4 linked regions of the Notamacropus eugenii genome follow. The protein of the gene in region 1 purifies or fractionates together with the protein of each later gene. This does not show direct contact. Links are inferred from orthologs where the notes say so. Each region holds a gene or a part of one and is shown on either strand. Other genes may lie near its edges.

Region 1 (7,947 bases):
GCCGCCATGTACCCGCTGGCCCAGCTGACAGGAGCTGCCGAAGTCGACGATCTTGATGGCGCTGCGCTTGGGGTTGCACAGCAGGATGTTCTCGGGCTTGAGGTCGCAGTGGATGATGCTGAGCTCAGGCGTGGCCAAGAAGAGCAGGGCTGTGCAGAGCTGCTGCGCCAGCTTCCGGGTCAGGTTCAGTGAGACTCCCCGGAAGTGTGTGTTGCGCAGAAGGTCGTACAGATTGTAGGAGAGGAGCTCGAAGACCAGACACAGGTGGTTCCGGAACATGAAGTGTCGTTTTAAATGCACTGGAGGAGAAGGCGCAGGGACATGCGGTGGCAGCTTGGACCTCAGCCTCCAGCTCCACTCTGTGCCCACCTCCCATGGCTGGCCACCCGCCGCCTGCCTTGCTCCCAGGCCTCACCGATGTAGTACTTCATCTCCGTGTCGTGCTGGTTCATCAGCTCGAGCAGCCGCAGCTCAATCTGTGCCTGGTTCAGAAATGCCTTCTTGTTCTTAATGATCTTGATGGCCACCAGCTCCTGGGCCTGGTGGTCATAGGCCTTCACCACCTGGGAGCGACAGTGGGGATCAATGGGGATGGATGGGAATTAGCAGGTCTCTCGGCCCCAGGATGGATCCCAAGGGGAAGAGACATAGTCAGGCAATGTTCTAGCTCAGGCATCAATAGTACGACTTGAGAGGCAGCCGAGAAAACTCAGGCTTGCACATAGGTCTCGGGATGTGGGGTGCAGGAGAGGAAAGTCACCTTCTCTGGCTTTCAGAGGATGGAAGCCTACCTCTCCCTGAGGTGTCTCACTCATTCTGATTCCCACCTGCCCGAAGGAGCCCTTCCCGATGAGTGAATCGATCTCGTATCGCTCCAGCCACCGTTCCCCGCTTCGCACAATGTAGTCATGGTTGTCGTCATCATAGCCGTGATTCAGAACCTTCCTCTCTTTCTTTGTGCTCGCATCCTCTGGGGGTCCCTGCTGGGCCCGACGCTTCTTCTTGGCGTAGTACACCTGGGAACAGAGAATGTAGAGGATGGTAAGAAGAGATATTGGGAGTCACTGCCCAGCTCAGTCCCAGCTCCTGCCCAGGGTCCAGCCCACCTCATTAATGTGCTTGTAGGTCTTGATAAGGTCCACAGAGAGCTTTCGTAGTGGGGCGGAGGTGGCATCCCGAAAGGCCAGCGGGAGCCGTCGCTGTAGCAGCCTGACATCTGGCACCACCTAGGAGGGGGAAGGACATGTAAGGGGCCAGGCTTCAACCCCTGACCTCCCTTTCCAACCCTCCCACGCTCACAGTTCCATTGTCCTACAGAACCTTGTGCTCTAGGTACGACAACTGTTACCCCCATTTTACAAAAAGGAAAACTGAAGCTCTCTCAATAACTTTCTCAGGATTGCACAGCTGACCAGCCAACTATCAGTCCAGTTCTACCTCCCTGCCACACTTTGTCTTTTAACCTTTAACCTTGAACAATTTCCCCACAGACCCTTGGAGTGTCTGATGGCCAAAGTTGGGGCAGGGACTATGATACTATGGAAGGGAGCTGGATTTGGATGGAGTCTGAGGACCTGGGCCCAAATCCCAGCTCAGCTACTTCCTCCCAGTGTGACCCTGGAAAGAAGGCTTAACCTCTCTTTAGGCCTCAGCTGCCTCATCTGTAAAATGAGCAGGAGATGACCTCAAAAGTTCGGGTCAGCTCTAAGTCTGTAACCCTCAGATCCTAAACTAGGATCTCCTTTTCCTGACCCAGATCCTTCAACTGTCCATCTGCACTTTCTAGATCTTACAGCTCATGGATGATTCAACACCAGACCCTTCAATTTCACGTTTTTCCCTAAGGCCTGTCCTTTTGCCCCCTCCCCCCTGCCAGAAACTCAATCCAGGGTTCCACCTTTCACCAGGAGCTAGATTAGGTGCTACCTGTGTATGCTCCTGGGGGGCTGGAAAGCCGGAGAAAGGACCATGGCTGGGAGGGGCGGCCATGTCCGGCTCAGAGGGCCGAAGGGAAGGAAGGCCCGGAGCAGGAGCCCGGCTGGGGGGCGACTTCTCGCATCCTGCACCACAGCTGCTGCCACCAGCACCGCCGGGACCTGGAGGGAGGGAGTAGAGGAGATGGGATGTGGGGGACGGGCACCACGGAAGGGAGGGGGCAGGCCAGAGTATCACGGAGCCAGGACAGACAGACAGAGAAAAGGGCAAAGGCAGCTAATTAGGGATGGGGTGAAAGAGACCAGTAACAATGAAGGGCCAGAGCAGAGCCGGTCAGGAGCCTGTGACAGCCCTTCCCCCATGCCCCCAACAACAGAGGAGAGGCTGGAACTCTCCCAGTCTCATACCCACTCCTCCCCAGCTGATAGCCACTCTCCATGGGAGGGGGGGAGCACAAAGGGAAGGCATTTGGATATGGGGGAGTTCTCATCTGACACCAGGGAGTGCCCCGAGTTACACCCACGTGAGAAAGGGGGCTGGTGAGCCCCCACTCGGCACCCCCCCCCCCCTCTCATACCCACGCTGGGGGGCTGTCGGGAGCCATGGGCAGGTGGCCGGCGGGGTCCCCAGTCTGGCAGTCGGGCAGTCAGCATCTCGGGCAGGGAGGGTGGGAGCCCCGAGGGGACACGGAGGTGGAAGGGTGACCCGTCTGAGGGAGGGGAGGCCCCCCCAGTCCCTGCCCGGCCCTGTCCTGTCCTGTCCGCTGGGTGACAGCAGCAGCCGCTGGGAGGGGGGAGGGGGGTCAGCCGAGGTTGCCTAGAGGGGGGGCAACTGAGCAGGTGGAAGGGGGGAGAGGGGGAAGGGAGGATGGGGTTAACCCTACAGCTGCTGGGCTGGGACTGGGACAGGCCTCCCCCCCACTTCCAGCCTGGCCTATCTGCTAATCAACCCTGGGGTCGCACCGGGGGCCAGAGAAGCCTCTCCTCCGACGCCCATAGCACCCCAGCAGCCCGGCCCGGCCGGCCCGGCCCGGGCCCCCCCTCCCCTGGCTCCCCCCCGGCGGGGGAGGGGGAGGAGGTGCTGAGCTCGAGGGGCGCCCGCTCCGGCTCCCGCCCCGCCCCGCCCCGCCTCCCGCCTCCCGGGCTCGGGCTCCCGCTCCCCGCGGCGCACACGAGGCGGCTGCAACATGACCCCTGCCATGGCAACAGGCCTGCCATTGGCCCGAGGGGCTCGGCGAGTCGGCCAATGGCGGGGAGCCGGCCCGCTGTTGCCAAGCGACCGCGATGCGGCGGGTGGGGGCCCGCGCCGGCTCTTGCCCAAACAAAGAGCGGGAGAGCGAAGGAAAGGGGAGGGAGGGGGGCAGGGGGAGGGGGCCGGAGAGGCCGCGGCTCCGCCCCCGGCCCGGCTGCCCGGCCCCGCCCCGGCCCGCGCCGCGCTCCCCCGGGGCCGGCCCCTTCCAGGAACCCAGCTATAAATAGCGGCCCCGCCCCCTCCGCTCCCCTCCCCCCGGGCACCTGGTCCGGCGCCCCTCCCCCACCCCGCCGGGCCCGGGACAGCGCGCCCCCCCACCCGCTCCGCCCCACCCCGCCGCCCAGGGAGGGGCGGCCCTAACGGTCGTCCCGTGCTCCCCCCGACCCCCTCCCCGGGGCTAACGTTCGGCGCGGGGGTGGAGGGCGGCGCGCCGGAGGACGGATGGGCTAGAGCGGACGGGCACGCGCCCCCTCCCCTCCCCCAGCCCCGGCGGGCGCGCGCGCGGCCGTTACCTGTGGGCGGGGGGTGCCGGGCCGTAGGGGGAGGGGCGGAGCGGAACGCGCGGGGCAGGCGGCGGCGGCTCAGCGCCCCGGGCTCATCCCCGCGCGGGAAGGCTGGCGGTGGCGGCGCGGGCGGGCTGCTCCAGTCAGATCGGCAGCGGCCCGGGGTCCCCAATTACCCAGTAATGCAACCAGCAAAATGGCGACCACAACAAACCGGCCCCCCCGGCCCGGACTCCGCCCCCTGCCCCCTCCCATCCTCCCTCGACACGTGACTCAGGCACCGGGCCGCCACTCCGTGCGCCTGCGCCAGCTATACAAGAGACATGCGCGACATCTAAGTTGGGGCCCGCCCCGAGCGCGCAGAAGGCAGCAAGACGAAGCATGCGTCGCAGAGGTCGACGCCCGACCTCCGCGGGTAACCACAGGGCGAACAGCGGCGGCTCGCCTCAGTGCGCAGGCGCGCAGCCTGGCCGTCCTTCCACCGCCCCCCTTTAACCCTTTGAGAATCCAGGAGTCACATGGGGTCACACCTTTTAATAGAAAATACAAAGATCTGACACAAAACAGTAGAAAAAGAGGAAGGCGGGGCGGGGACGGGAGAAGCAACAGCTACTTGGCAGCTACTTCCTTCTGCTTGGGGGGAGGCCTGTGAGGAGAAAGGAGACGTCAGAGCCCAGGCAGCACCCCGATAACCCCCAAGAAACCCTGCTGTGCCCAGGGACCCCACCCCCCCCATCCCCAGAGCAATAGGACCCCTGCTGTGTCCAGGAACCACGCCCCCCCCCCCCGCCATCCCTAGAGCAACAGGACCCCTGCTGTGCCCAGGAGCACCCCCCCCCCCCAAATGGGGCCCCTGCTGGGCCCAGGCACCCCTTACCCCCAGCACAATGGGGATCCTCCCAAGGCTTACCTGTACACACCCACCACCACTGCGTGATCTCGCTCATAGGGCTCCAAGGTGAGCTGTTCCTGTGGCTTCATGTTTTCCTGCTGCATCTTCTTGACTTCTGAGGCAAACACAGCTTCAGGGGAGGCTGTGGAGTCTATGCAGTTGGCCTGGGAGAGGTGGTGGTCATGAGGACACAAACCTATGGCCAGGCCTCCTCCCCTCACTTCTGAATTTGGCCAGGGAACTTTACCTTAATGGAGATCACAAAGTGTCCACCGTTGCGCAGGAAGTTGTGTGCATTGAGAGCCACAATTCGGGACTGGTCTGGCTGGGCCACATCAGCAAAAATCACATCCACCATCCCTGGAGGCAGAGGAAGGAAGGGCACCAGCCACAGTTGGCACAGAGTCGTCAGGCTCATCCCTGTGTCCCATCTCATCTCTTAGCCCTCTACTCCCCCCTGCAGACTGCCAATCCAATCTCATGGGATGGCTCTGAACACACCAATCCCTGACTTAGCCGAAACCTTCTTCCGTTCCCCATGGTCCACAGGATAAAGGCCAAATTCAGAGGCCAGCTGCCTCCCAGAAATTAAAATCACACTCCTTTCTAATAAATAATAATAGCATTTACATAGCGCCTTAAAGTTTGCAAAAAGCTTGACAAAAATCTTTTTTTAAACAGCCGAGGAAATCAAGTCCCCTGCAGATTAAGTGATTTGCCCAGGGTTACACAGCTTATCTAAGGTGGCATTTGAATTCAGGACCTTCCAGCCCCAACTTGGTTGCCTTCTCTAGCCACAGCACAGATCATTTCCGCCCCACAGCCCTGTCTATGGAGGTAGGGATGCCCCAGGCCTTCACCAATGAGCATTCGGTATTTGTGGGGGTGTCGCGCATCCTCAATGACAGGAATGATGTTTGTCCTCTTCTTGGCCACGTTGATGAGGTCTCGGCCAGATCGATGAGAAAACTCAACAGCGTAGACCAGACCTTCCTGAGGGGCAGAGGAGAGCTCACTGTCCTCACCTGTCACATGATCAAGAACCCACCACCAAGCCCTTCCTCCTAAGACTCAGAGCACCTGCGACCTGGGGAGCAGCAGGAGCCATGCAAAAATCAGCAGGTATCATTCTGTGCCATACTTCCTGCCCTCAAACCCCTTTGTTCAGAGTTCAGTAGCAGGTGAAGAATCTCTTCAATGTACCTCACCGCTAGCTCTTTGGGTTTTGTATTTAAGCAGTTAGGAGGTGGCAGCAGGCCCTCCCTATTCTTATTCTATTTGTGAAAGTGGAGAAGGGTTCCCCCAGACTCACAGGGCCCACAATGTCAGAGACATGTGAGACAGTAGTGCCAGATGCTGCTCCCAAGTAGAGTACTTTGGCCCCAGGTCGGATATGGATCTGATCCACTCCACCTAGGATGGCTGCAGCCAGTTTTGATCGGAAGGGGTTCCAAGCACGGTATTCCAACTTCGCCTCACCATCCTGAAAGGGTGGAGGAAATCAAGAGTCAACTCTTCATACTCTGGCCCTCCACTACCTTCCCTATGTCCTATACCTTACTCCCTTTCCCAACATAACTTGGGATTCAGCGACAATGGTGGCCTTGCTGATCTGCGGGATGCTCCGTCTCCCAACTTTGGCATTTTCACTGGTGACATGCTCCCCCAGAACTGGAAGGCTCTCCCTACCTCCTCTATCTCCTACCTGCCCTGGCTTCCTTCAAACCTGAAATTCCATTTTCTACAAGAAGCCTTTCTCAATGCCCCTCTATACTGTCTCCCTCAGGGATCATCTCTAATTTATTCTGTACTGTATATGACTTGTTTCTATATGATAACTGCCATGTCACCTTTCCCACTAGACTGTTTTGTGAGCAAGGACTCAGTAAATACTTCATGACTGACTGAAATGGGAGCCTGTCCCACATCCCCTCCCACCACAAGGTCCCATCCTCACCTCCACAGTGATTCTCTTCTCACCATAGACTGACTCCCCGGGTACCATGTTCTTTGTGACCAGAGCATCTTCTTTCCCTCGACAAATAAAAACTCCTGAAAAAAAAAAAAAGAGGGGCCAATGTGACTCATGGGCACCCCCTTCTTCTCTACCAGGCATCCCCTGTCTCTGAAACGAGGAAAACTGGTAACAAAGAAAACAAAACTGCACAATGGCCGTTTTGCCACTTTCTTTGCTAAGAAAAGTGGCACTGGACATGTCCTCACTCACCCTCATGTCGATGAGGCTCCACAGTGACCTTCTTTCCTCCTTGGAAACCTCCTCTGCCACCCCGGCCTCGACCCCGGGGGGTGCCTCTGCCCCGACCCCCAGGGGACTGGAACCCTCCTGCGGGAGGCAAAGATTCCTTGCTGGCTGGACAGTCCAACATAGATCCCGGAGGAAGTGCTCCTTCCCTCCACCCCCGTGAGCCGGCGACCTCAACTCACCTCGGCCACCTCCTCGGCCACCGCGATCTCCAAAGCCGCCCCGGCCACGGCCCCCGAAGCCTCCTCGGCCCCCGAAGCCTCCTCGGCCCCCTCGGTCACCACCTCTGCCACGACCTCCGAACCCCCCCCGGCCCCCCCCTCGGGGGCTGAATCCTGCGGGCAAAAAAATAAGTTAGCCAGAAACTTCTTCGGCCGCTTGCCAGCTCACCCGGACCCCAGGTGACGAGGAAGCTCCACGTTCACGTTCATGGGAATGGGGGGAGGGGGACAGCCCCACAGCACGGGAGACCCTTTATCACGCCCCAAACTGCTGTCAGTGCATCTGGGAGATGAGACAGAGAAGCCCGCCGTCCCCTACGGAGGAACCCGGGAGGCCCAGGGAGGGGTGGGGGTGCTGAGGCTGGAGGCCCTTCCCTCCTCTCCCCGGAGCAGCTCCGAGGAAGGGCCCAGCCCCTCCCACCCCCGCGGTGACAGCCATCCCAGCCTGGCTCCAGGGGGAGGGTCCCGGCCCGATCGGGCAGGCCCACCAAACCCGGCCTCGGGCCTCGCGAAAGCTGCGGGCAGGACGCGGGAGTGCGCGGCTCGAGCTCCAATCCGGCCCCAGACCCTTCCCAGCTGCTACCCCAGGCTGCCTGCCTCAGTTTCCTCGCCGGTAAAACGGGGACCGTACCAGAGCCGCCCCTCCGCGCCGGGGGCGAGGAGGGCTGGAAAGCGAGAGAGCGGAGAAGGCGCCACGGTCCGCGGGCCTCCGGCTACCGGCGAGTCAACTGAGGCGCGCAAGCCCTGGCCCGGCCCCAGTCTGGGCCCGCCAGTCCTCCCCAGCCCGGCCCCAGTCTGGGCCCGCCAGTCCTCCCCAGCCCGGCCCCAGTCTGGGCCCGCCAGTCCTCCCCAGCCCGGCCCCAGTCTGGGCCCGCCAGTCCT
Region 2 (7,418 bases), on another chromosome or scaffold:
TAAGGAAAAAAAGCAATAGAATTATAGATTTAGAGCTGGAGAGTACCTTAACGGCCATCTAGTACAGCCCTTTCATTTTTCAAGAGGAAAAACTGAGATCCAGAGACATTAACCAATTTGCCTAAGATCACATGGGTATGACTGAGATGCATGAATACAGATAAGGATACCTATCTTCTGATTCCAAATTAAGTGTTCTTACCCCTGGACTGTTCAAACTGCAAAGAGCTGGAAGAAAGCTAATAGAGATCTAGGCTGGCTCCAATTCAGATTAAAAAAAAAAAAAGGAAGTGGTAGAATTGGGACTTGAAACAAGGTCTCCTGAATTCAGGGTTCTTTCTACCACACCAACCTACCTTTCCTGCTAGGGTGGGAATCTGGTTAGTCCCCATCAAGAACATAATGATCTGGGGCAAGCACAAAATTTCTCTGGGTCCTCATTTCCATGGGTGAAAGATGATGCTATTAACTGCTTTCCCTAAATGATACTGTATTGTGACCTCTGAGCACCTTACAGAAATAGACAAATAAGACTTATTTTGATTAAAATATTTAAAGCCAAATGGCTGGGCAACCACTACCACTTATTTTGAGTAGGACCTCCCCCCCCCATTGCCCTTTTCCTTCTTTTTGTTTTTCATTATAAGGCAAATGAAGCCTTATCAATGTTATTCCTCCTAAGAGTAGATGATCCATAAAATGTCTCTTCCAATTCAACTGAATCATAATATTCATTTTATAAATTCACATCCCTGAAGAAGTCACAAAATCAAAAACATAAATTTTTTTCTTCAAAAACTAGAAAACTTGAAGCCATTAGTTTTGTAAAATACACTCATTTCAAGGTATGCCTCCTGGAATATTGATTACTATCTTGATTTTTATCCAAGTTTCATCTATTTACAGGTTCTTTCTTCTCTCCTCCACTGCATAGGTGACTAAAAACTAGTTTCAAAAACTTTTTGAACATGCAGCTAAGTCAAACGGTAATTAACTGAGTATTTGTTTCTAGACTATCTGGTTACTAAAACTTTATCTGCAAATTTCCTCAACTCACGTTAAACCCTTGGCTCTCAAAATGGATACAACTCTATGCTAGATGAACTAGAGATTTTGAACAGCAATGACAAGAATTTATTGTTATTTCCTAAAAACCTGTGTTTTTAACTGTAACTGTTGCATAATCAAAATTCCTATTATTCTACGAATTAAAGATACAATTGAATTAAGACGGGTACTTTAAAATGTGAGGTTACAAAAGCGGGAAAAGTTTCATACATGCAGTTAAATTTTCTAGCCATAAACAATTCCACACTCTGAAAGCACCCCTTTTGTGATAATTCAAGCTCCCTTCACAATGTTTTCAATCAACTGGATGCTATGTCTTATTTATGTTAGTCTCCCGGACCATTTTTCTGCTACACCCTGCATGTCATTAAAATTATTAAAATTAAAATGCATGTCATTTTAATAAGTGTTGGATGCCTTTGAGGAATTAGTTTAATTTTTAAAGAAATTTAAATCTGAAATCCACAACTACTACTCAATTACTAAATTTTAGTCTAAGTTAGTATTAAACTTAATTATATCACAAAGTGAACAATCCACAAAGTGGAGAAGCAGAGAAAAATGCTAGACTTTGCATGTAGAAGATTCCAGAGGTGAAGCCTTTTCCCTTTGTTCTACTCAAACTTCTACTTCCAGCATGGGCATCTGTGACCCATCCCCTACACACCTTTGAGAAATTACCCCCTGAAGACTTAAGATCTACACATCTCACGGAGATTTAAGGAAGGAACACCTACCTTGCCTACAATTTTAAGGTAGTATATTATCTCTGTAAAACTCCACAATAGTCCTTTGGGTCAAACACGTGTAAAATACCTGTTAGGCAGTTAACTCTCCTCCCTGTCAGGAAACTGTCTGGTGCAGACTGCCCCTACTCTCCCTTCGGGATCTCAGTCACGCTGAAGCATGGGGGGGCCAAAAGTAAGTACCCAAGCCCCCCTGGGGGGCAACACCATGTCAGGGTGACACAGGTAACCGGACTAGGTCAAGATGCCACGGGCCCGCCGTGGGGAGGCCTGCACGTGGCCAGCACTACCTGCTCCGGTCCGCAGGCCACATGGGGCCCCCAACTCGTGGTCACCCCCCTCTCCGGGGGCCTCCTGCCCCCAATGCACATGGCCTGCTGCCACGACGGGGCATCCCGGGGGAGCCGGCGGAGGAAAGGCCTCCCCTCCGAGGCACGTTCAGGCAGGAACGGGGTCACTGGAGATGGAGGCCTCGGGGGTGAGCCCGGGGGAACTTCCCGGAGCGAGGGCCCGCAGGATGGGGGAAGGGAACGGATCATTTTGGGAATGGGGCCCCACGGCTTCCCGCGAGGACCCTGAAGGGGGATGTCACGGGAGATTCCTTCCCCCCCGCGGGGGTAGCACCCCCCCCACGCCGCTTGGGCCCCGCAGGGCTGTGGGGAGGGTCGGTTTCCCGCTCCGTCCACGAGCCGCGGCCTCCGCCTCCCGTCCTCTTTTCAGGCTGGCCTCCCCTCAGCGGGCTATCACACTCACATTGTGTACAGGGTAGGGGGGGCGGGCGAACGGGTGGGTTGGGTCTCTCAGGCGGCAAGGACGGCTCCGACTCCCCGCGGGCGGGCGGCTCCGGCTCGGGTGCCTCCTCCTCCTCCGGTCGCGGCCTCTCTTCTGCCTCGCTCTTTCCCCTCCGGCAGCGGCGGCGGAGGCGACGGCGGCGGGCTTGGCCTGGATCCCACAATGCACCGCGCGGCAGACCAGAGAGGTTCGGGGAGAGGAGGAGGAGGAAAGAGTAAGAAGAGGGCGCGAGGAGAGAGAATGAACGTGTGCGTACGAGGGGCGGTAAGGCCAAGCGAGGCAAGGTGGCGGCGGCGGCGGAGGCAGCGACAGAGGAGGAGGCAGTGGCGGCGGCGGCGGCGGCGGCGGCTAGTGACGCAGCAAAATGCCCGGGCCCCTTCGCGCGTGCGCGTTCCTGTGCTTTCGGGCGCGAGCCCGGCTTTCTAGAGATCTCTATGAGAAGGGCGGAGTCTCCCCGTCACTCTCTTTGACCCCGCCCGCTCTGCCCCCCCTCAGTCGCTGTCCCTTCCCGCCTCTCCTCCCGCCCCCCCCTGCAGCCTCTCGTTGGAAAACCGTTGGTGACCCAACCGCCTGGGCTCGCGCTTTCGCGTGGTCTCCCGGGGAAACCTCCCGAGAAACTAGTCGTCTGGCCAAGGCTAGCCGAGAGGCGGCCGGCCCTCAGCCTGCGGGCGGAGATGGTGGCATTTCTGCCCACCCCCGCCCCAGGTTCCCCTCCCCCACCACGGCCCAGCCCGAGGCTGAGAAAAAACTCGGCCGCAGGAGACATGTTTGAGTCGTACCCCTTCCCCCGGCCTGGGCCGACGCTATCCTCGCTCTGAAGGGAGGACAGGCCCCTGGCTGGGGGGAGAGGGGGAGGGGGAGGTGAAAGGCCTTGTCTGGGGGGAGGGGGGAGGGGGGAGGGGAGGTGAAAGGCCTTGTCTGGGGGGAGGGGCGAGACCCCGCGGAATACTGTGGAGTGCGGTAGAATGTAAGCCCCTTAAGGGCAGGCACCATCCCGCCCCTTTGTAGATGGCTCCCGAATTGAATTGAGAGCAAATGGACCCCGGGATTCCTCGGAGACCACATGGCCGCTGACTTTGATAATGTCCGGCCATTGCTTTCACTCCTGGGGGAATACTTGTTCAGAATCTGCCCAAAGCCAGCTCAGGGCTTGGAGGATGGTGGCTGAAATGGCATTCCCGTGAAGAGGCGGTTCTCCAGGGATGACGCTGGTGATCATTTGGGAAAAAAGTTCCAAATCACTAATTAAAATCATTGAAGGGACGTCATCTCACGCCCGTCAGATGGCAAAGAAGAGGAAAGAGGAAAATAGCAGTTGTTGGAAAGGCCATGGGAGAATAGGTACATTCCTTCGCCTCTAGCAGAGTTTTGAATTTTCTCAGTGTTTCTGGAAAAAATGGATAACTTTTTCCCTTAAATTACCAAGCTGTGTATGCCTGTGACCCAGAAATACCGTTAGATTCTTAGACCCTGTGGAAATCAAACCCAAAAAAGAAAGAACCCAGGTGCTCAAGAATACCTAGCAAATAACTGGGAACAAAGCAGGTAAATAAATGTGTGACCATGTTACGTGCGTTCATGTCCTTGAATATGACTTCTCCTTGAGAAATTAGGAATATGATCAATTCAGGGAGCCCCTGAAGACGTATTGATGGATGCAGAGGGAAATGAGGAAAGCCAGGAGAACAGTTTAAGATGACAGTCATTTGAAAGACAAAATTCTAATAAAAGCAGTGACCAGTGATGCCTTCAAAAAACTGATGATGAAACATACCTTCCAGTCGTACCTGGGCAGAGAGGTAAGGAACAGGAGATGCAGAAGGAATTATAACATCTCAGATATGGCCAGTGTGGATTCGTAAAAAAAAGCATTTTTATTGTCACAGCCAACTCTTCGTGACCCCTTTTGGGGGTTTCTTGGCCAGAGATACTGGAGTGGTTTGCCATGTTCTTCTCCAGCTTGTTGCACAGATGAGGAAACTGAAGTAAACAGGGTTAAATGACTTGCCCGAGGTCTCACAGTTAGTAAGTATCTGAGGCCAGATTTGAACTCGGGAAAATGAATCTTCCTGACTCCAGACTTGGCACTCTATCCACTATCTAGCACAGGTAACTTCTTTTTAGTGTTTTGTTTTTTTTTTTTGAAATGTGTATTTAACCCCATTTTCACCCAAGCCTGGGGTGATTTTCCTGAGGGCAGCCCTCTTGGTGTTGCACAGCCTATGTGTAATAAGGTGTAACCCCTAATTGTCTGAGAGACCTCTGAGCTGGAGACACTGAATGTAACATATTAGCTTCAGCTTGTTGGAGCATTTCAGGAGAGAGGTGTGTATTCGTCCTTCCTTGTCAAAGAAGACCATGGCATCAGAGAAATGATGACTTGCACTTGATTTTGTTTTGAGGGAGGGAGGGCTGTGCAGGTCACCAACCTCACTTCTCCTCCAGAGCCATCTGAATCCAGTGACCAGATATTCATCAGGATGACTGGAGATGACCCAGGATGAGACAAATTGGGGTTAAGTGACTTGCCCAAGGTCACACAGCTAGTGAGTGTCAAGTGTCTGAGGTGACATTTGAACTCAGCTCCTCCTGACTACTGCACTGGTGCTCTATCCACTGTACCACCTAGCTGCCCTCCAGAGAGGCAAAGACTCAGGGATGGCTGACTTTTAAATGGTGGACTGGTGATTTATTCAGAGCTACAAACTAGGGGAAGCTGACCCCCATCATATCCCTGACTTCCAATGCTTGCAATCCTAGAGATTGCTAAGAGTAGATTCTTGGGCTGAAGTTTTTATCTTGCTCTCAAGACCGATCCTAATTTGTATAACTTCTCAGGTTTCTATTTACTGGATGATTTTGATGAAGTACTTGCTAGTCTTGATGGCCTTTTATATAATTTATATAATTAGTATTTGAGGAGGAATCTAAATTGGTGTTAGTCAAGGTGTCCCTTTCCCTTGAGATCAATCAGGGAAAATATCTTGTATGCCAAACACCTTCAACTCAAATGCCTAGACTACTCATATTTGATGCATCTAATTCTAGACCTATATCTGGAAATATGAGATTGGCAAAGAGATCATCCTGCCATAAATATCCTACAACCCCTTTTTTGCTAGACTGGTGGTAAAGGCAAAGCCTTTCTCCTACTCTTTAAAAGGAAGAAATTTCAGCCTCCCTCAGTGATAGAGTGGACCAGATTCCATATCAGAGAACCCTCTATGTCAAATGGGCCAGCATATCATTATATTATACAGCTTACCCACACATATTTTACACACAGACAAAAACATAGTACAGAAGGAGGTACAGGAAATACAAACAAAGCAATTTTGTTGATGGCCTTATACTTATTATATAAAATAGGGACAGAAATTAGATCAGTTATTTCATTGAAAGAGGGAACTCCCAGATGAGGAAACTCCTGCCAATGCAGGGAGACACCTACCTCAGCAACTTAATAGTCTTAACAGTGTTGCTTACAACACTGAGGGGTTAAATGACTTGTCCAGGACCAGCAACTATATAAATAAATTCACAATTTAACAATCCTCTTTGTTGTTTGTATATTAAATTGTTTGTTGATGATTAAATTCATGGGAGAAAAAATTGTGTCATTTCCTCCACTTCCCCCATGGATTATTAACCCACTGGATGCATTGAACCTTTATTGTAGCATTTTTCTTATCACAAATTGAATAACTATTTGTCTTGAAGAGCAAAATTTCCTGACATTTAAAATAGGTATATTGACTTTCTTTTTAATGTTAAAAATTATTCCTTGTTGCATTTCCTGCTTGTTGAGCTCAAATCAAATGTCACCTGTACGGCTCTTAATCTGTAAAATCTAGTTTGGGTGAGATACAAAGATAATAAACAATTTCCCTGCCTAAAAGAAGTTTACAGTGTAGAAGGAGAGATGACTAGTACAAGAGGTTTTGCTATTTAATAGTTGTGTGATATTGGACAAGTCATTTTACCCCCTCTAAGCCGACTTCTTGTCACCTGTAAGATGAGGATGTAAGACTAGAAAATCTTTTGATCATGGGCCCTGTTATTTCTGTATCCCAGTGATCCAATACCTATTACACAGTTTAATGGGATATATGTACAGGATATAAATATTTAGTGACTACTTAGTATAAAGCATTGTGCCAGCTACTGGATGAGATATAAAATTTATCTAAGACAGAGTCTCTCCTCTCATGGAGCTAATAGTCTAGTTCAGGGGTGGGGAATCTGTGAAACTTGGACTCAGTCAAAGGGCTGTACTCAAGGACCTAGAGGACCACATGTGGCCGTGGGGCTACAGGTTCGTCACCCCTGGTCTAGTTGAATGTATGGGACATATTCTCAAATATCTATGGTACAGTTTCAACAAATATACATGATAGGAAGGAATTCCTAGTGGTCAAAATAGCATGAGCAGATGCATGGAGGGCAGGATATATTTATGGAACAGTAAATTGTTCAATTGATTCAAGTTAGTGGGATTCAAGTAATGGCCTGGAAAGGAATTAGCCCAAGAGGATTTTGAGTTAGGATTAGCTCTGGAGATCATCTACTCCCACCCCATCATTTTACAGATAAAGATCATGTAAAACATTGAAACTTACATGTAAAGGGCCTTTCCATAACTTATGACTAATGGAAGAAATTCCTAACCAAACAAGGGATATACCAATTAGGAAATGGCTCAATAAATTATGGTATATGAATGTAATGGGATATTATTGTGTTGTAAGAAATGATGAAAGGAATGGATTCAGAAAATAAAGCCTTATAAAAATAACTTGTATGAATGGATTC
Region 3 (7,473 bases), on another chromosome or scaffold:
AGGGGTCAGTCACACTATGTCCAAAGTTCAATTTTGCTCAGTCAGATAGTAAGTTTGAATGTTTTCTTTCAAGGACAATGAAACCAGTGGCCAAGAAACTTCACCTGTAGTTCTTGACGAGAGAAGTGTTCTTTTCTAATGTGCCTAAACCACAGAGAAGTAGGATAAAATGTGTGGTTCTTGCGGAACAGAATTTTGCCCTGCATTAAATCTGAATTACTAAGTTATTGTTTTCTTTGATAGAATGATCATGTTTGAGAAATGCCTCCTAAAAATTTTGAATGAAAACCTAAAAAACTGGTGAGCAAAACAATTCCAATCCTACAGCTCTATATGACCTCATTCTACCAAATTTCAGGGTTGCTCTGGCTCCAAGGCTATCCTATATATACTGATAGTGAAGCAACTTCCTGATACGAGTCTGAAGGAACATGTATTTAACAGCAGGCTCCAAACCCACATCAGCTGTGGGACTTCTAGTGGACTGAAAAGATGTTAACTTACTCTGTCAATGGCTTCTGTTTATCCAATTTTAGGAATGACCTAGAGGGCAATATAATCCTTTGGAGTACATAACTTACTTTAATGGAAGAAGTTAAGGGCTACCGAGGTTTTAATACCAATTCCAACCTTACTGGCTATATGCTGTACAAATCTTGGGCAAATAACATCAGTTTCTCTGGGTCTCAGTTTCTTCATAATTAAAATGAGGGAGAAATAATAGTATACCGGTAATTAAGAGATAAAAGCAATTTGAGCTCTGTGAAACAACACACTCCATAAATCCAAGGAATCATTTCAGAGGAGTCCAGCAGGGTATCATCTCTCACTCTTCCTGTTCAATGCACCACAAAGCCTAGGGATGCTGGGAGTGATGACATCATTAGGATGCAGAAGGCAATCTGTTCTACCTTTCTGGCTGGACACCATTCACTCATTCATTCACTTGTGCCTGTGTACTCACATAAGTCTAAAAGGGCACTGTTTGTATATGACAAGTTCTGCTTTGTATGCGACTTTTTCCCTTCTGTAAAATGGGGAGAATATTCCTTAATCCATACCCATCTCATGGAAAGATAAGTTTCCTGAGACACTGGGAAAGTTCTCTATGCTCTTCAAAAAGAATAAAAAATAAAAAGCATTACAGAAATCCTATACACTGAGATTTCTCCTCAGCTGCTTCCCCTATATAGGCCCTTGTTACAGAAGATAAAACTCAAGCTACGTTATACTAAATGCTCTTGGTTTCTTAAAGCTGCCTTTTTGGAGATCCATCAATGGAAAAGGGTACCTAGTTGCATTCAGATACTAGGGACAGCCTTTGGAGGGTGAGGTAAACTCATTTTCAGGCTCTCAAGATTTGGGCCATAGGAAACTCCTAGTTTTTTTTCTCTCTAGAATCAAGAGGATGAAGAGGATAATTTCATATTTTCTGCATTTTAATTGCTGGGATGTGGTCATACACAAGTCATTGCAACAAGCCAACTACTACCTATCACATTAACTGACATTTTGGGCTCTACGTTTCTTAAAACAGAGTGGGGGGGGGGGGGAGGGAACCTGAAACAATTGAACCAAGATATAAAAAAGGCAACCTAGCTTGGAGAGGGCCAAACCTAAAGCATTAGAAGGCTTAGTCTTGGCTCCTTCATTACCTTATCTTCTAACTGCAGAATAAAGAAAGTCCTGAACCCACACTAAACAAGTTAAAACTTCTCAGCCTAATAACCGCCAAGGATCGAAGCCCTTTTGGGAGGAGGCATCTGGCTTGGCCTCTTAGGTACCCAGAAGACCCAACCCTCTTCCCCAATGGGGCACTGACATTTCCCCACTCCCCAAAGATCTAAGTGATCACTGATACTTGGGTCTCAGAAACAGAGTCAGAGCTGAAGAGCAGAAGTCTCCCTTGGGGGTAGATCTACTTAGTTCAATGGGACAGGCTGGCGGGAGATTTTCTGGGGACTCCAGGCCTTCTCCCTCCATCACAACGCCCCCACCCCCACCCCCAGCTTGGGGTTAGAGTATGAATAAAAACAACGGCGGGGGAGGGGTTCCTTTCTCCAAGGCCCTGGTGGTGCCTGGGGTGGGTGGGTGTGATGGATGCTGCCCACCCCTTCTCCACCCACAATTAAGACTACACACTACCCCCTCCATCCCTGGGTTGCCGCTACCTTAACCACGGGAGGGGCAAGAGGTGACCTATGACCCTGTGGGGGTGGGGGCGGATGACGTCAGAGGAGCCGCTACCCGCCCCCTAACGCCAGCCTTCTGGCCCAGGACCCGGGCCCGTAAAGGAGTTTGGGGGGGGGGGGGGGGGAAGATGTCTGGGGACACGGTGCTCTAGCGGCCCCCTCCCCCACCAGTCCTGGGCTCCCCGCAACGGGGCGGCCTGCAAAGCCAGGCCGTGAGGAGGGACTAGCTGGGAAAGGAAGGAGGAAGGGAGGGGCAGCTGAGGTCTCCGCCCCAGGGCCCAGCGCCACCTGCCCCCAGGGCCCGCCCGCCCGCTACGTACCGCAGCTCGGTCCCCTTCCCAGGGCCGCAGCCGGAGCAGCTCTGAGCTCGCCACTTGCCCCACGGCGCCCTTAAATAACGCCGGAGCGAACCAATCGTCCCCCTGCCAGAGAGGGGGGGGTAGCTTCCCCACTCCCAGGACTTGCCCCGAAGCCCCGTGCGAGGGCCAGAATTCCTGGGGTTTCCTCTCCCTCCCCCAAAAACTGCTGGTAATCAGTAGCGTCCGTGATGGAAAAGGTGCAACACTTGCTCCTCTCGATGTACCTCGCCTCAAAGGGGTCTTGCTCCCCACTAGGTTCCCCTACCGAATTGCGGAAGGTGGAAGGGACCGGCTCTAGGCTGAACTAACTTCGGGCCAGTGGGGAGAATAGACAGAGGTAAACAAACTCAGGCCCTCTCTCTACAGTTCCTGCTCCAGTCTGACTAAGACGCCTTCTCTGACCTTGACCTCTAGCAGAACAAGCCTCGCACCCCGGTGTTCGTTTTTCTATTTCTCCCTATACTGCCACTGCTTTGAAAAAAACCCCTCTTCCCTGCCACTGAGGACTCGTCTGCGACCCAGGGGCAGATGGGAGGTGTAGTCCAATGCTGGCCAGACTTGGGGCCTGCTTGAATAGGGTTCCAGAACAACGGGCAGCAGGAAAGGCTGAGGGGCAGGGGGGGCGAATTCCCGATCTGGATCCCAGGACCTTAGCCCCATCCCCAGCCCTTTCTTCTTTCTCCCGAAGTCGCGCCTGCACGTCCATTACTACACTCAGTGGGCCTGGGCCCCTTCTCTTCTTCCATCAACGCCCCCCATCCCCCGCCCTTCCAGTCACAGCAGGATGAGGTAATTGGATTGTGATTATGACATCATAATAAGCTCAGCTCTTTTCCTCCTCCCTCCCCCACCCCCAATGTATTCTAGAGGAAGCGCCCTCAGGACTCCTCTATCAAACCCCGCTTTTCATTCTTTGTGTAGAAGTGGTCAGACCCTCGCAAAGACCTTCTTTGTCCATAAAGCAGGAGTGGTCAGTGAGAGGAAAGGGCTATTCTTTCACCAAAGCCACAGGATTTCAGTCTGAAGTAACTGCACAAGTTACGAGTAAAACTCATCCCCCCCAAGAAAGACCTAGATGAAAGAGGCTAAAATAGAGGAAAACAGGGACAGAGACTTGAGAATGAATGCCAAGGGAAATAAATGAATCCACAGTCATGCCATCAGAGAGGCAAAGGGGTAGAGAAGTGATTTTAACCCAAATTTGAGCCAGTGGAGAAGGGCTTTCTTATTGCAGGCTGGCAAGTTTGTAAAACAGGGAAGGAACAGGAAAGAAGAAAAAAAAGAGTAAGGCAGGACACTAAGCTAAATAGGGGGCATTTTCTTCATCAAGGGTCAATGAGGGTCTTGCCCCAGAAAGCTGGGCAGCCTCCCTGCCCAATTTCCTAAAGGCCTTGTCTTCTCAGCACACTCCACATGCCCCAACACTGAAAGTGGTAGGTGGCTTCCATCTCCCAAGCAGTATAGCCAGTGACAGGGAGCTTCCAGCTGGAGACAGGGAAGTGAGGTGATAAGAGCCAAGATGTCAAACTGAAAAGAGAGAGGGGAAAGGGCCCATTTTCAAGAGGTAGGTAGACAATAGCTATCTATCCTCCCTGTTTTTCTCAGAGGTAGCTTAGCTTGGAGGGAATAGTACTCATTAGGATCTTCATTATGCCCCTTTTCCCCACTCCTAGAGAATAACCGCAAACATTTTACAACAGAAAGTAAAACCCTGGTAAGGATCAGACTGTGAAGTATTAAACAGACAATTCTTCCTAAAGTTTAAGGTAGTACGCTTGTAGATAATGTAACTTTATGGGGCAGAGGCTAAAATTAGGGCTCTGAGATACTTGCTTTCTCCCACCACACTTGTTTAATTTCCATATTTAAGCTTTCTGATCAATATATCATTGACTTGTTTGCATAAAAAGAAAACTCTACTCGTTCCAATTCCCAGTTAACTATCCCAACCCCAGTTTATCTAGTATGTATACACCTGTTTTGAACTCAGCCTTAATTCAGCCATTATGAAGTAATATTTTATTTATTATAAATTATTATATAAAATTATCATATATTATTAATTATTATATGTAATATGTAATACACAACATGTATTATAAATTATTATAAATAAAATGATTTATTTGTTCATTATGAAATATACCCACACCCTGAAAGACAACTCTTTTGATACTGTTCCTATGAACCTACCTGGGTTCTCATTTGGTCTTGATTTAGATTCCACAGGGGAGTCAGAACACTGAGCCAGCCTTTCAAGAAGTCATCTGAAGATCCTGAATCCATGCTCCCTGAAATATTCTCCACTCCCTGCCTAGCAAAGGTATATTTATTTAGGAGAAGAAACAAAGGCAGAATGAACCAGGACCAATGCAGACCCATTTTTTATATAGGTAGCTGTTCTCAGAACTGGGAGCAAGAAAAAGGTTTAGATTAGTCTAGGGTTCAGGTATCATTACAATGACTCCATTAAGAAACTTTGGCCCTTGTCCTTTCTCTTATACCCTAGCTTTTGTCAAAGGAAGAGAAGGTTTAGAACTCAAATCCCACAACTCACTGTAGCCAGGTACAAGAACACATATCATTCTCTTTGAACAGCAAAGGCTGACTGGGAGGATCCCAAGCATGTAGGGCTCGTCGCCATTGCCTGATCTGGGCATCCCAGGAACGTCGGCTGTACCTTCGGCTTTTGTCAGGTGTTTGAGGGTGAAGTCCTGACTGCCGTGTTGCCCTAGAGATAAAATGAACATCTTAAATTATGGTCAAAGACACCTATAAATAGATGGAAGAGGCTTAGTGCTCCTGTGTTATTGGCATGACTGAGAATCAGCCTAGTTGAAGAAAGAATTCTTCAGCATTGTTGGACATAGTTCATTAATTGTTTGCAGGTATCAGAGACTAACTTTAGAACAATGTTCATAGGCTCACAGATTTAAAGCTGAAAGGTACACCTCAGAGACTGCTTAGACCAAATCCCTCATTTTATAGCTGATAAAACTGAGACTGAGCTTTGGAACTTTGCAGTAGCTATATCCCATCCCTAGAATGCACTCCTACCTCACCACTACCTCACAGAATCCTTAATTTCCTTCAAAGCAAAGGTCAAAGTCCACCTTTTACATGAAGTTTTTATGCCCTTCAGCTCCCCCCGCTAAAAAAAAAAATTACCTTGTATACTTTTGTGTACAGGTTGTCTTCAGAACATAAGGGCCTTGACGGAAGGTACTATTTCATTTCTACCTAACATATAGTAGACACTTAATAAATACTTGCATATTAAATGACTTGTACACAAGACCACATGAGTTACAGTAAATAAGGCTAGAATTTGAGCTCAGGTCCTCTGACTCAAAATTCCCCACTCTTTCTATTATACCATGCTACTTGCAAAGTTGAACCCCTCTAAAATGCCTTCCCTTACTGACGAATAACAGTGTACTGACTCATGTTCAAAGTCTAAGAGAAGAGACAGAATAAGTCCAGGAAAGTTTAGCCTAATATTTTTAAATAGAAGATTCTATTTATAAAGATGCAGAAAGGCAAGTGATGAGAAGGTTTAGGAAGACAAGGTAGCCATTAACAAGATCAGAACAAGTATTATAGACCATGTAGAATGCTTAAAGATGTTTAGAAAATAGCAAGATTAATTGATAGGCTTCCTAATTTTTCTTAAGGCATTCTAATATGAATATCAAGGTGACTTGGTATTAATTGATAACAATTGATGGTAAAAGATATTTTCAGTTCTTCAAAGGATAAATGTTGTCCATCCCCAAACCCTCTGCTCTTACTTAGGGACTTGCTGTGAGAAGCACTGGTAACCAGCTGTTCGTTTCCCATAGTCTATCTGCTTTTGTCTCCTTCGAAGAACAATCTCATCTGTTTCTACATCCTGCCTGTGGAGAAATAAATGTCCTATCAATAAATAGCTATGAAAAACATAAAATGTTCTTAAACATCTCTTTACACTGCGGCCATCTCACTCCATCTGCCAGACTCCATAACTCACCTGCACCTTCTGCAGCTGTTCTCTGTGCTGACTCCCACACTCACCATCTTCACTCCAGAGGAAGAATTCCCAAGCCCAAGCATGTTCTTATCGGTTCTATAAGTAAAGAAGGTATCAGAATGACTAGGTGATTGCTGTGCTTTTTCCAAAGAAACACATCCTTCATCTGGATCCTGGACAGCCAGATTGAATTAGTGTCCACATCTCTAAAACACCCTCCACAATCCTCAGAGCTTCAATAAATAGCAAACGAACTTACATTGGACTTTTATTAAGCACCTACTGTTTGCAGGTCCTGGGGGAGATCGAGCTCAGATAAGACACACTCTCTTCCTTTCAGGATGTTTTTTTTAACTACAGTCTGGTAGGACAGAGGTAGTCAGTCATTCACGATACCATACGTGCTTAGAGCACGGAAAGGTGCAAAAAGGAGAGGTCAGGCTACAATAGTTGAAACTGGACAGCAGCAGGAAAAGCCCTTCGTTCCCCTACTCCTTTCCAAGGAAGGAATGGAGAACCTGCACACCCCAATACACACCTCTCTCTCCTCAATTCCAGAGTTTCTAAAGGCAGATTCTCCATTTCATCGCATCACCTCTCAGAGCACTAAGGTGAGGAGTCGGTGCATTAGCTAAGGCGAAAAGGAAGGTAGGGGGAATAAAACAGCCCAGAAACCCTCACCTGCACTCACCAGGTTTTTCAAATTCACCATTCAAAAGAAATAAGCTGGTGAGGGCGGGGCGAGAGGGAGCGAAGGGAGGGGGTGAGGGGGGTGGAGATTTAAATCTCCCGGGTGGAAGGCGTGGGAAGGGCGAGGTCCGGGCGGACGGGATGAATGGCCAAAGCATGAGCCAATCATGTATCCGATTTTCCCCGGAAGGCGGAGTTTAGCTCGGGTTTCGCCGTAACCTCG
Region 4 (7,956 bases), on another chromosome or scaffold:
TGCAAGGTCACCAGCCTCACTTCTCCTCTTGAGCCATCTGCAGATTTCAGGGGATTTGAATGGATGGGGGAAAAACACATCTTTATTTCAACATAATTGGTTTACTTAGCAACACTATATATTTTATTTTATTCATTTAAAAACATAATTCTGAGAAGGGGTCTATCTGCCTGACTACCAAAGGACATCACCCAAAAAGGTGAAGAACCCTTGGCCCAAATTAAGGTCTCCAGCACCTCAGCTGGAGCCCCTCAGAAAGATGAATGAGAGGATACTGATAATGAGTATAGATCAGGATGAGAAGGTACATTGTGATTTGGACTGTTAGGTCAGGACCCACTTTGACAAGATCATGGAGCAACTGAAGTCATCACAACAAATCTTTTTAAAGTGTTAATTGTGTAAGGAGTATTTGATCTGTCTTCACCTCTCTCATGCATCTACTCTTTTCTAGTCTTATTACCATTACCATCAACATTTTTTTAAGTTAATTTATTTTTAGCTTTCAACATTCACTCCCATCACTTCCATAAGTTTAAACTTTTCTCCCCCTCTCTTCCCTCCCCCTCCGCAAGAGGGCATGCAATCTGATATAGGCTCTACATATATGTTCCTATTAAACATATTTTCACAGTAGTCATGTTGTATAGAAGAATTAGAACAAGTGGGAAGAACCGTAAGAAAGAAAAAACAAAACAACAGAAAAAAGAAAATAGTCTGCTTTGCTCTGCCTTCAGACTCCATAGTTCTTTCTCTGGATGTGCGTGGTATTTTCCATCATGAGTCCTTTGGAATTGTTTTAGGACCTTGCACTGCTGACCCTCAGCATTTATTAACAGTCCATATTTCTCTAACAGATTCCTTTTTTCCTGCCTTTAGACTCTCTTTCCTCTAAACTGTCCTTCATCAGATCTCATCTTTGTTATTTCTTTGCCTGAAATGCTTCAATACAGCTCTTCACTGCCCATCAAGTAAAGTTAAAATTCCTTAGTCCATTTGTCCAAGTCCTTCACAACCTGGCACCTCCTTACTTTTCCAGACTTAACTCATGTCACTCACCAATTCTTGGCTCATGTGATTCTCAATGCCTAGAACCCTCCATCTCCATGCAGAATCTTAGTAGAAAAGGCACTGGAAGACCTGGGGTTAAATTCTAGCTCAGTGACTTACTAGGGTGACTAGACAAGTCACCTAACTTGAGGCTATTATCTATAAATTGGAGATAAAAATGCATACTTCATTGTGTTGTTATGCTGATCTGAAGAATGTCAGTGCTCTATAAAGTTTGAGGCACTATGTAAATGGTACCTACAGTATTATGTTTAGGGAAGCACTGTGGGGGTAGTGGAAAGTTCCAATAAATCTGAATCAGAGTAGGGGTCTGAACCCTGCCACTTGCCTTGGGGAAATCATTTACCCCTCCCAGCCTCAGTTTCCCTACATTACCTCCAAGGTTTAAATTTGTGATCCAGAGATCTTTCAAGGTGCATTGCAATTTCTACTTTCTTTATAAAGCCTTCTCAACTTCATTTGACCTTGTATAACACTACACTTTACATCCTGCATAGTTATTATTGCAAAATGTTATTACATAGCTATTATAGAGAAGCAGCTGCCTGTTGTAATGGTTAAAGCTGACTTGGGAGCCTGAAAGCCCTGGCTTTGCATCCTGCCTCAGACAACGTACTGTTTTTACTACTCTGGATCAATCACTGGACCTCTTACTGTCCTAAGTAACTCTATAATCACATAAGCTAATCTGCACTGGTAGAGGAAGTGTCCTCATCTAGTAGTTTCTTATTCTTAAATGAGATCACAGGTCTAGACTCTATCCAGGTATGTAGAATATTTTTATTTATATGTATATTTCTCCTGCAAGATTGAAACTCCCTGAGAATAAGGACAATCTACTAATTATTTTTATATTTTTCTCTTGGCCCCTCTCCCAGTTATTACCATTCTTTTCACATAGTAGGCACTGTGTTCACCAAATATTAAATCCATTAAGGGTTAATGATATGTAAAGCACCATGCTAGCCAATCAGGAAGATACTGTCAGAGAAGGTGTAATCCCTGCCCTTACAGAGCTTAGGTGAAAAAGAGGCTTTAGATTGTATCTGTGCATACTAACCACAAAAATACTTGAATAATTTGCCAGGGTAGATTAGGTGCACTCATTTTGAATGGTTTCAAAGCATCTTCCAAGCCTGCTCAGTTTACTGACGGCCACAAAACTTTTAATTCTGGAATCTTGCAAAGAGATATGATGCCATCATCATATCTGAAGGAAGAAAATGAACTAACAAGATGGGGAAGCATTTTTACCTCTTGGGTCACAATATATCAATCTTCAATTCATTATATATAAACTTATCATTACCTGTTTACACATTGTGTCTCTACAGAAGGAATGTAAGATTCTTGAGGACTGGGGCTGGGTATTGGGTTTTTTTTAATTTTTCTATCCCAGAATCTTGTTCAATGCCTTGTTCATATTTTGTTTTTGCTTGGACCTATGGTTTTATTAGTACAAGGACCTTGTGTAGGAATTCTGTCCACCAATACTTATTACAATTGGTCTTTAGCTTATAGTTTCTATAAGAGCTGCCTGAGGATTTGTGGTCAAGAAGACAGTTATATGTCAAAGGGTGGATTTAAACCTAGGATTCTTGACTCTGAGGCCCATACTTTATCCACTGATATCAAATAGAAACGGACCTCTGTCCCTGCATACTGACTTAGAAAGTCACAAATTAACATTATTTACTTTGTATTATATTTTTATGTATTTGGTTAAACTTTTTCCAGTTATATTTTAATCTGGTTGGGGCTGCACTGATGAATTCTGTGAGCTGCTTGGGACCTTGGACACCTCTGTGCTATACCATGCTTTCACCTCCTGCATAACAAGCCTTTAATAAATACTTGATGGTTAGTATTGGACATACACAATTAGAAGATTGGACTAGATGACGTTTCAGGTACACCAGTAACTTCATGAGTCTGTGAAATCCAAGGGAAGAGGTGAGGTGTAATTTGAAGGAAGAGTTCTGGGGTATTGTTTTACCTGCCAGGCCTTCAGAAATATTAACCACCATTTTACATCACCTTCTACTAAGTGGGCTTGTAGGATCAGAAGCATCTAGGGGGTCATAATCAATCAGTAAATATTAAGTATTTGTTATGTTCCAGGTACAACAGATAAGATGACAAAAATCAAAGTCCCTTCACTCACAGAGATTTCATTTTATCAGAGAGTCCATATGTATATATGTAATATAAATTATACATCAAAGTGAGGTAATTTGGCACGGAGATAAAGGGAGCTAAGAAGTTTAATAAGAGTTTCAGGTGTGACTTCTCTAGTCACACAGAGACTAAGTGACCAAGCTGGAATGTAATCCCAGGTCTTCTGACTACATCTAGCATCCTCTCCACTAGGATTTCCACCAAGGGTTGAAGGACATGAGGCATAGAGAACAGAATGAGTAAAGGAACAGGGGCAACATGAGGGTATTTGAAGTGGGCTTTGAAGGGAATGAGGAAACTAAAGAAATAAAAATGAAGATGGAGTGCATCCCAGGAGTGGAGGACAGGATGTGTAAACAGATTGGAGAAGGAAGAAGCAGAAGATCAGTTTGGCTGATCCTGGAAAGGTAGGTTGGGTACTGGTTGTTAAGTGCTTTAAATACCAGAGCAGAGTTCTTGAGCAAAGCAATAACCCTATCAGGCCTCTTCTAAAGGCACATGGCTTTGGCAGCTGGGTGGAGGTCAGAGACCAACCAAGAAGCTATTACAATGGGCTAGGTGAGATGATAACTGCCTAAAGGAGGGTGGTTGCCATGGCAGTGGGGAGAAGATGAATTCTAGAGATGCTGCAAAGGCAGAATGAGATTGACAGATGGCTAGAAAGAAGGCTTTGAGACTGAACACCTAGGTGACTGGAAGGAGGGCGGTACCAGCCATAGAACTAGGGAAGTTAGAGAGAGGGGTGGCTTTTGGGCAGGTGTGCTGACATTCAGCTGGAAATGTCACGTTAGGGACAACCCCTCATCAGAGGTGGCAGATCTTTCTTCATGACGTTGGCATTCCTAAGATCATAGACCCAGAGCTGAAAACACACGCAAAAACCCCTCCATAGCGGGCCCCGAGTCTAGCACCCTCATTGTACACATGGGGAAACTGAGGCCCGGAGAAGACGAGAGGTCTGCTGGGGCTCCAAGGGCTTCCCTTGGCCAAGCTCTTCCCCCCGAGGCACCTGGAGTCCCCCTTATCCGACTCAGCCCTTTGTGCGGCTCCTAAAACGGCACCGTGAATGAGGGGGTGGGGTGGGGAACCCCTGAAGGTGCGGGATCGCACCCCGAGCGGAGTCGTCCCACAGTGTAAGGACGAGGACGGCTGGGCCTCAATCGTGGGTCTCGCTCCCACCCGGGAAGGGTGAGTGCAGCTGGGGCAGCGGGTGGGCACCCCCACTCCCCATCTCCTCCTCCTCCCGGATGCCCGGCCCCCCGCCCCAAATCGGACTGCATCTGTCTTCTCTTTCCAGCCCCTTCCCGATGCCCTCTCCCCACCCGTCCGGTCTCCATCGGACCCCCAGCCTGGGTGCCCCCACGCTGGACAGGGGAAGCGACTCAGGGCGCGTGCGTACACACTCACACACATACACACATTCCCGCACTACGAAGCTGAGGGGGCGGGGCGACGACGGGAGGAGGGAAGAGGAAAAGGGGCGGGTCCGGCCCCCCCTCCCCGCCTCGGAGAACCAACAGGCTGCGAGAAGATGACCCGGTCTCTTTAAGGCCGCGGGACCCTCGGCCCAAGCTACCCCGCGACCAATCGGCGCGGCCGAGGGGCCCCAGCGCGGCTGACGCGGCGCCAATGGGCGGCCGCGGGGGGCGGGGGCAGCTCCGGAGACACTATTGTTGATGAGGAGCGAGGAGCCGCCGCCGCCGCGGGAGCAGCAGCAGCGGGAGCAGCGGCGGCTGCACCGGCGAGGGACTGCCCGGCCTCCAGCCGCGGCCTCGGGGCCTCGCGGAGCAGCCTCCCGCCCCCCGCACTCGCAGCGCGGCCCGGGAAGGGGGCGTCATGTCCCAGCGGGTGAGGCGCAACGGGTCCCCCACGCCGGCCGCCCCCCTCGGCGGAGGCGCGGGCGCCGCGTCCGGCCCCGGCGGCGCCCCCGGGAGCCGCCTGCAGCCCATGAGGGCCACGGTGCCGTTCCAGCTGAAGCAGCAGCAGCAGCAGCAGCAACATGGCAGCCCCACGCGGAGCGGCGGCGGGGGCAACAACAGCGGAGGCGGCGGCGGCAGTTCGGGACCCCCAGGGGGCGGAGGCGGCGGCGGCGGCGTCAACGTCCCGCGCACCTCCTCGCGCAGCACGAGCCCCACGCGCGCCGGCGCCGGCGGGCCCAGCGCTCGCGCCAGCCCCACGGTGGCCACGCAGACGGGCGCGCCCCCGACGGCCACGCGGGGCACCAGCCCCACGCGGGGCGCGAGCGCGCGGGGCAGCCCTCCCCGTTCGCAGCCCCAGCCCTCCCAGCCGCTCCTGGGTACCGTCTCGTCCCCCTGCTCGTCCCCCATCCATCTTCTGGCGAGCGACGCGGCCGCGTCCCCGGCTACGGCCCGGGTCCGACACCCGAGGCGCTCCCCGGAGCAGAGCCGCAGCTCCCCCGAGAGGAGGAGCCCCAGCTCCCCGGTCTGCAAGGCGGGTACGTGCCGGGGGAGGCGCTGCGGGCGGGCGGGGGCGTGGAGCGTGGGGCCTGACCCGGGCACCCGCTGGCTCGCGGGGCCGTGGCGGTTGGGGGCGGGGTTAGGGCGGCCTGGGTCCTGCTCGTGCTGCTCGGTGGGCGGGGCCACGGCCGGTGACCCCGCCCCCGACCAATCCTAGCCGCCTTCCCCCCCAAGTTTCTTTTTTTGGGGGCACAATGGGCTCATTGAACTGGAGTCCACCATGTGCGGGTTTCCAAGGAGGGCATGCCTGTGCCACCAGCTTGCCTGGGTTTGTGTTCATCAATAAACCCGGACTTTGTCATTTCTGCGAGTTCAGTGGTTTATCCACGTTTTCTGTCGTACATCCTTTCTTTTTCTGGGGGAAAACCCTCAAGAAACTGCCCCCCATCTTGTTAAATGAAACAGTTCGAATATGGAGTAGGAAAGCGTGATTTGCCCACCGTGGGCTTTGTTTAACGAGGTGCTTAAGTGCCTGTTGCTGCTTTTGCTGTTTGTTCTCCTCCCCCCAAAAAACCAGTATCAAACTTTACTCCTTGTAGAGCAGAGATTCGTAATCTGGGTTTGTGAACTTTTTTTTTTTAAATGTTTCATGGCTATTTCAAAAGAATTAGCTTCCTTTATAATACGTATTTTTTGCATCTGAAGACGTTATTTTGACAAAAAGGTCCGGATTGCCAAAGGGGCTTCATGCAATAAGAAAATGTTAAGAACTAATGAGACTCCAGAAAGCTTGAAAGAAATAGTAGAACTAACTGCTGGTTTTATTAGTTATTGATGTCCACAGAAAACAAGATGCAGGACTTTTTAATGGTAGTTCTTTTCCTCTTAGGATAATATATATATTAGTAGAGGAAAATATATGCTTCTGTATTAAATAAAACATTTAGACGTTTGGAGTTTTAAGAAACTGTTTCTTAAACCAAGCGTAAATACCCCAAAATTGTTTAGGATGGAAGCATTTGCATTTACAGTCAGGTATAGCACCATCTAGATGTGTTTGTAATGATCTGACGGTTTTTGTAATACACAAGCTCTGTGTCTGCGAAATTGTTAATAAGATTACTCTTTTTAAAAAATTTTGGTGTTCTGAAATATGTTTCCTCCAGTTAGTGCATTACTATTCCTCAGGACTTAAAGCTGTCCTTGGAAAATAACAATAGACAGGTTGTAGGTGTTGTAATCTCTGTAGTTGATAGAAATGTAGCAAGAAGAGAAACTTGTGAAGAGATTGAAATGGTAGTACCTGGAAAGGGCTAGAGTGGACTCTGTCATGTTAGAGTTTAGTGAAAACTGGGAAGGGTGATTTTTAGTTGTTGGTAGCACTGCCTGTATGTTTTTGTTCTCTTACTTCTGGGGCATCCCACTGAAAATAGATAGTTTAATCAATCAGTAAACCTATATTAAAAGTCCACTATGTGTCAGGCACTATGTTTAGTGCTAGAAATACAAAAAGAGGCATAAGGAGCTCACATTCTAATGGAGAAGACAAGGTAAAAACAAATATATGCAAAGCCAGCTAAACATGGGATAAATAGGAAATAATTGACACAAGGAAGGCGTTGGAATTAAGAGGAGTTGGGGAAGGCTTTCTGTAGAAGGCAGGATTTTAGTTGGAACTTAAGGAATACAGAAAACCCAGTAGGCAGAGATGAGGGAGAGCATTGCAGGCATGGAGGACAGCCAGAGCCAAGAGATGTCTTGTTAGTGGAACAACCAGGAGTCTGGTGTCACTAGATTGAAGAGTATGCACTGGGGAGGAAAATATAAGAACACTGGTAAGATAGAAGGGAGCTAGAATAAGGAAGATTTGAGTTGCCAAACAGAACATTTTGTATTTGCTCCTGGAGGCAATGGGGAGCCACTGGAATTTATTGAGTTTGGGCGAAGCAGGGGCAAGGAGATGATATGATCAGGCCCTGAGCCTTAGGAAAATCACTTTGGTGACTGATTGGAGGATGGATTGGAGTAGGGAGAGATTTGTGGCAGCAGCTATTGCTGTCATCCAGACGGGAGGTGATGAGGGCCTGTGTCAGAGGGAAGAAGGGGGTTTATTTGAGAGATGTTGCAAAGTGAAATCAACAAGCTTGGCAGAGGTTTGTATTTGGTGAGGAGGGTATGAGAAATAGTGAGGAATCCAGGATGACTCCCAAGTTGCCAGTCTGAGGAATTAGGAGGATGGTGTTGCCCTCCACAGTAATAGGGAAGGTAGCAGGGAAGGGGAGTTTAGGGG

The links.
Region 2: the proteins of DYRK1B (region 1) and PTGES3 purify together in Homo sapiens (affinity purification with mass spectrometry; 3 studies listed by BioGRID and IntAct, with this or other methods). This does not show direct contact. The link is inferred for Notamacropus eugenii from reciprocal best matches to the Homo sapiens genes DYRK1B and PTGES3.
Region 3: the proteins of DYRK1B (region 1) and FAM53C purify together in Homo sapiens (affinity purification with mass spectrometry; 3 studies listed by BioGRID and IntAct, counting the BioPlex papers as one, with this or other methods). This does not show direct contact. The link is inferred for Notamacropus eugenii from reciprocal best matches to the Homo sapiens genes DYRK1B and FAM53C.
Region 4: the proteins of DYRK1B (region 1) and FAM117B purify together in Homo sapiens (affinity purification with mass spectrometry; 3 studies listed by BioGRID and IntAct, counting the BioPlex papers as one, with this or other methods). This does not show direct contact. The link is inferred for Notamacropus eugenii from reciprocal best matches to the Homo sapiens genes DYRK1B and FAM117B.

Annotation. Positions count from the first base shown.
Region 1 is NC_092876.1:32,311,132-32,319,078, forward strand, and holds the start of DYRK1B (dual specificity tyrosine-phosphorylation-regulated kinase 1B), read right to left. Parts: upstream 3,003-7,947; 5' UTR 2,932-3,002; coding exon of another isoform or gene 2,898-2,931; 5' UTR 2,589-2,897; coding exon 2,513-2,588; intron 2,097-2,512; coding exon 1,927-2,096; intron 1,227-1,926; coding exon 1,107-1,226; intron 1,017-1,106; coding exon 828-1,016; intron 564-827; coding exon 416-563; intron 300-415; coding exon 13-299; intron 1-12. Other genes in the region: FBL (rRNA 2'-O-methyltransferase fibrillarin), read right to left, coding at 4,299-4,335, 4,600-4,745, 4,829-4,941, 5,442-5,574, 5,894-6,064, 6,539-6,633, 6,809-6,925, 7,027-7,179.
Region 2 is NC_092874.1:231,926,746-231,934,163, forward strand, and holds the start of PTGES3 (prostaglandin E synthase 3), read right to left. Parts: upstream 3,011-7,418; 5' UTR 2,570-3,010; coding exon 2,568-2,569; intron 1-2,567. UniProt on the Homo sapiens protein: Cytosolic prostaglandin synthase that catalyzes the oxidoreduction of prostaglandin endoperoxide H2 (PGH2) to prostaglandin E2 (PGE2).
Region 3 is NC_092872.1:365,475,206-365,482,678, reverse strand, and holds the start of FAM53C (protein FAM53C), read right to left. Parts: upstream 3,016-7,473; 5' UTR 2,513-3,015; intron 1-2,512. Other genes in the region: oocyte-specific histone RNA stem-loop-binding protein 2-like, read right to left, coding at 3,884-4,078, 4,745-4,865, 5,109-5,282, 6,343-6,447, 6,561-6,656, 7,099-7,142.
Region 4 is NC_092877.1:298,976,699-298,984,654, forward strand, and holds the start of FAM117B (protein FAM117B), read left to right. Parts: upstream 1-4,952; 5' UTR 4,953-5,085; coding exon 5,086-5,704; intron 5,705-7,956.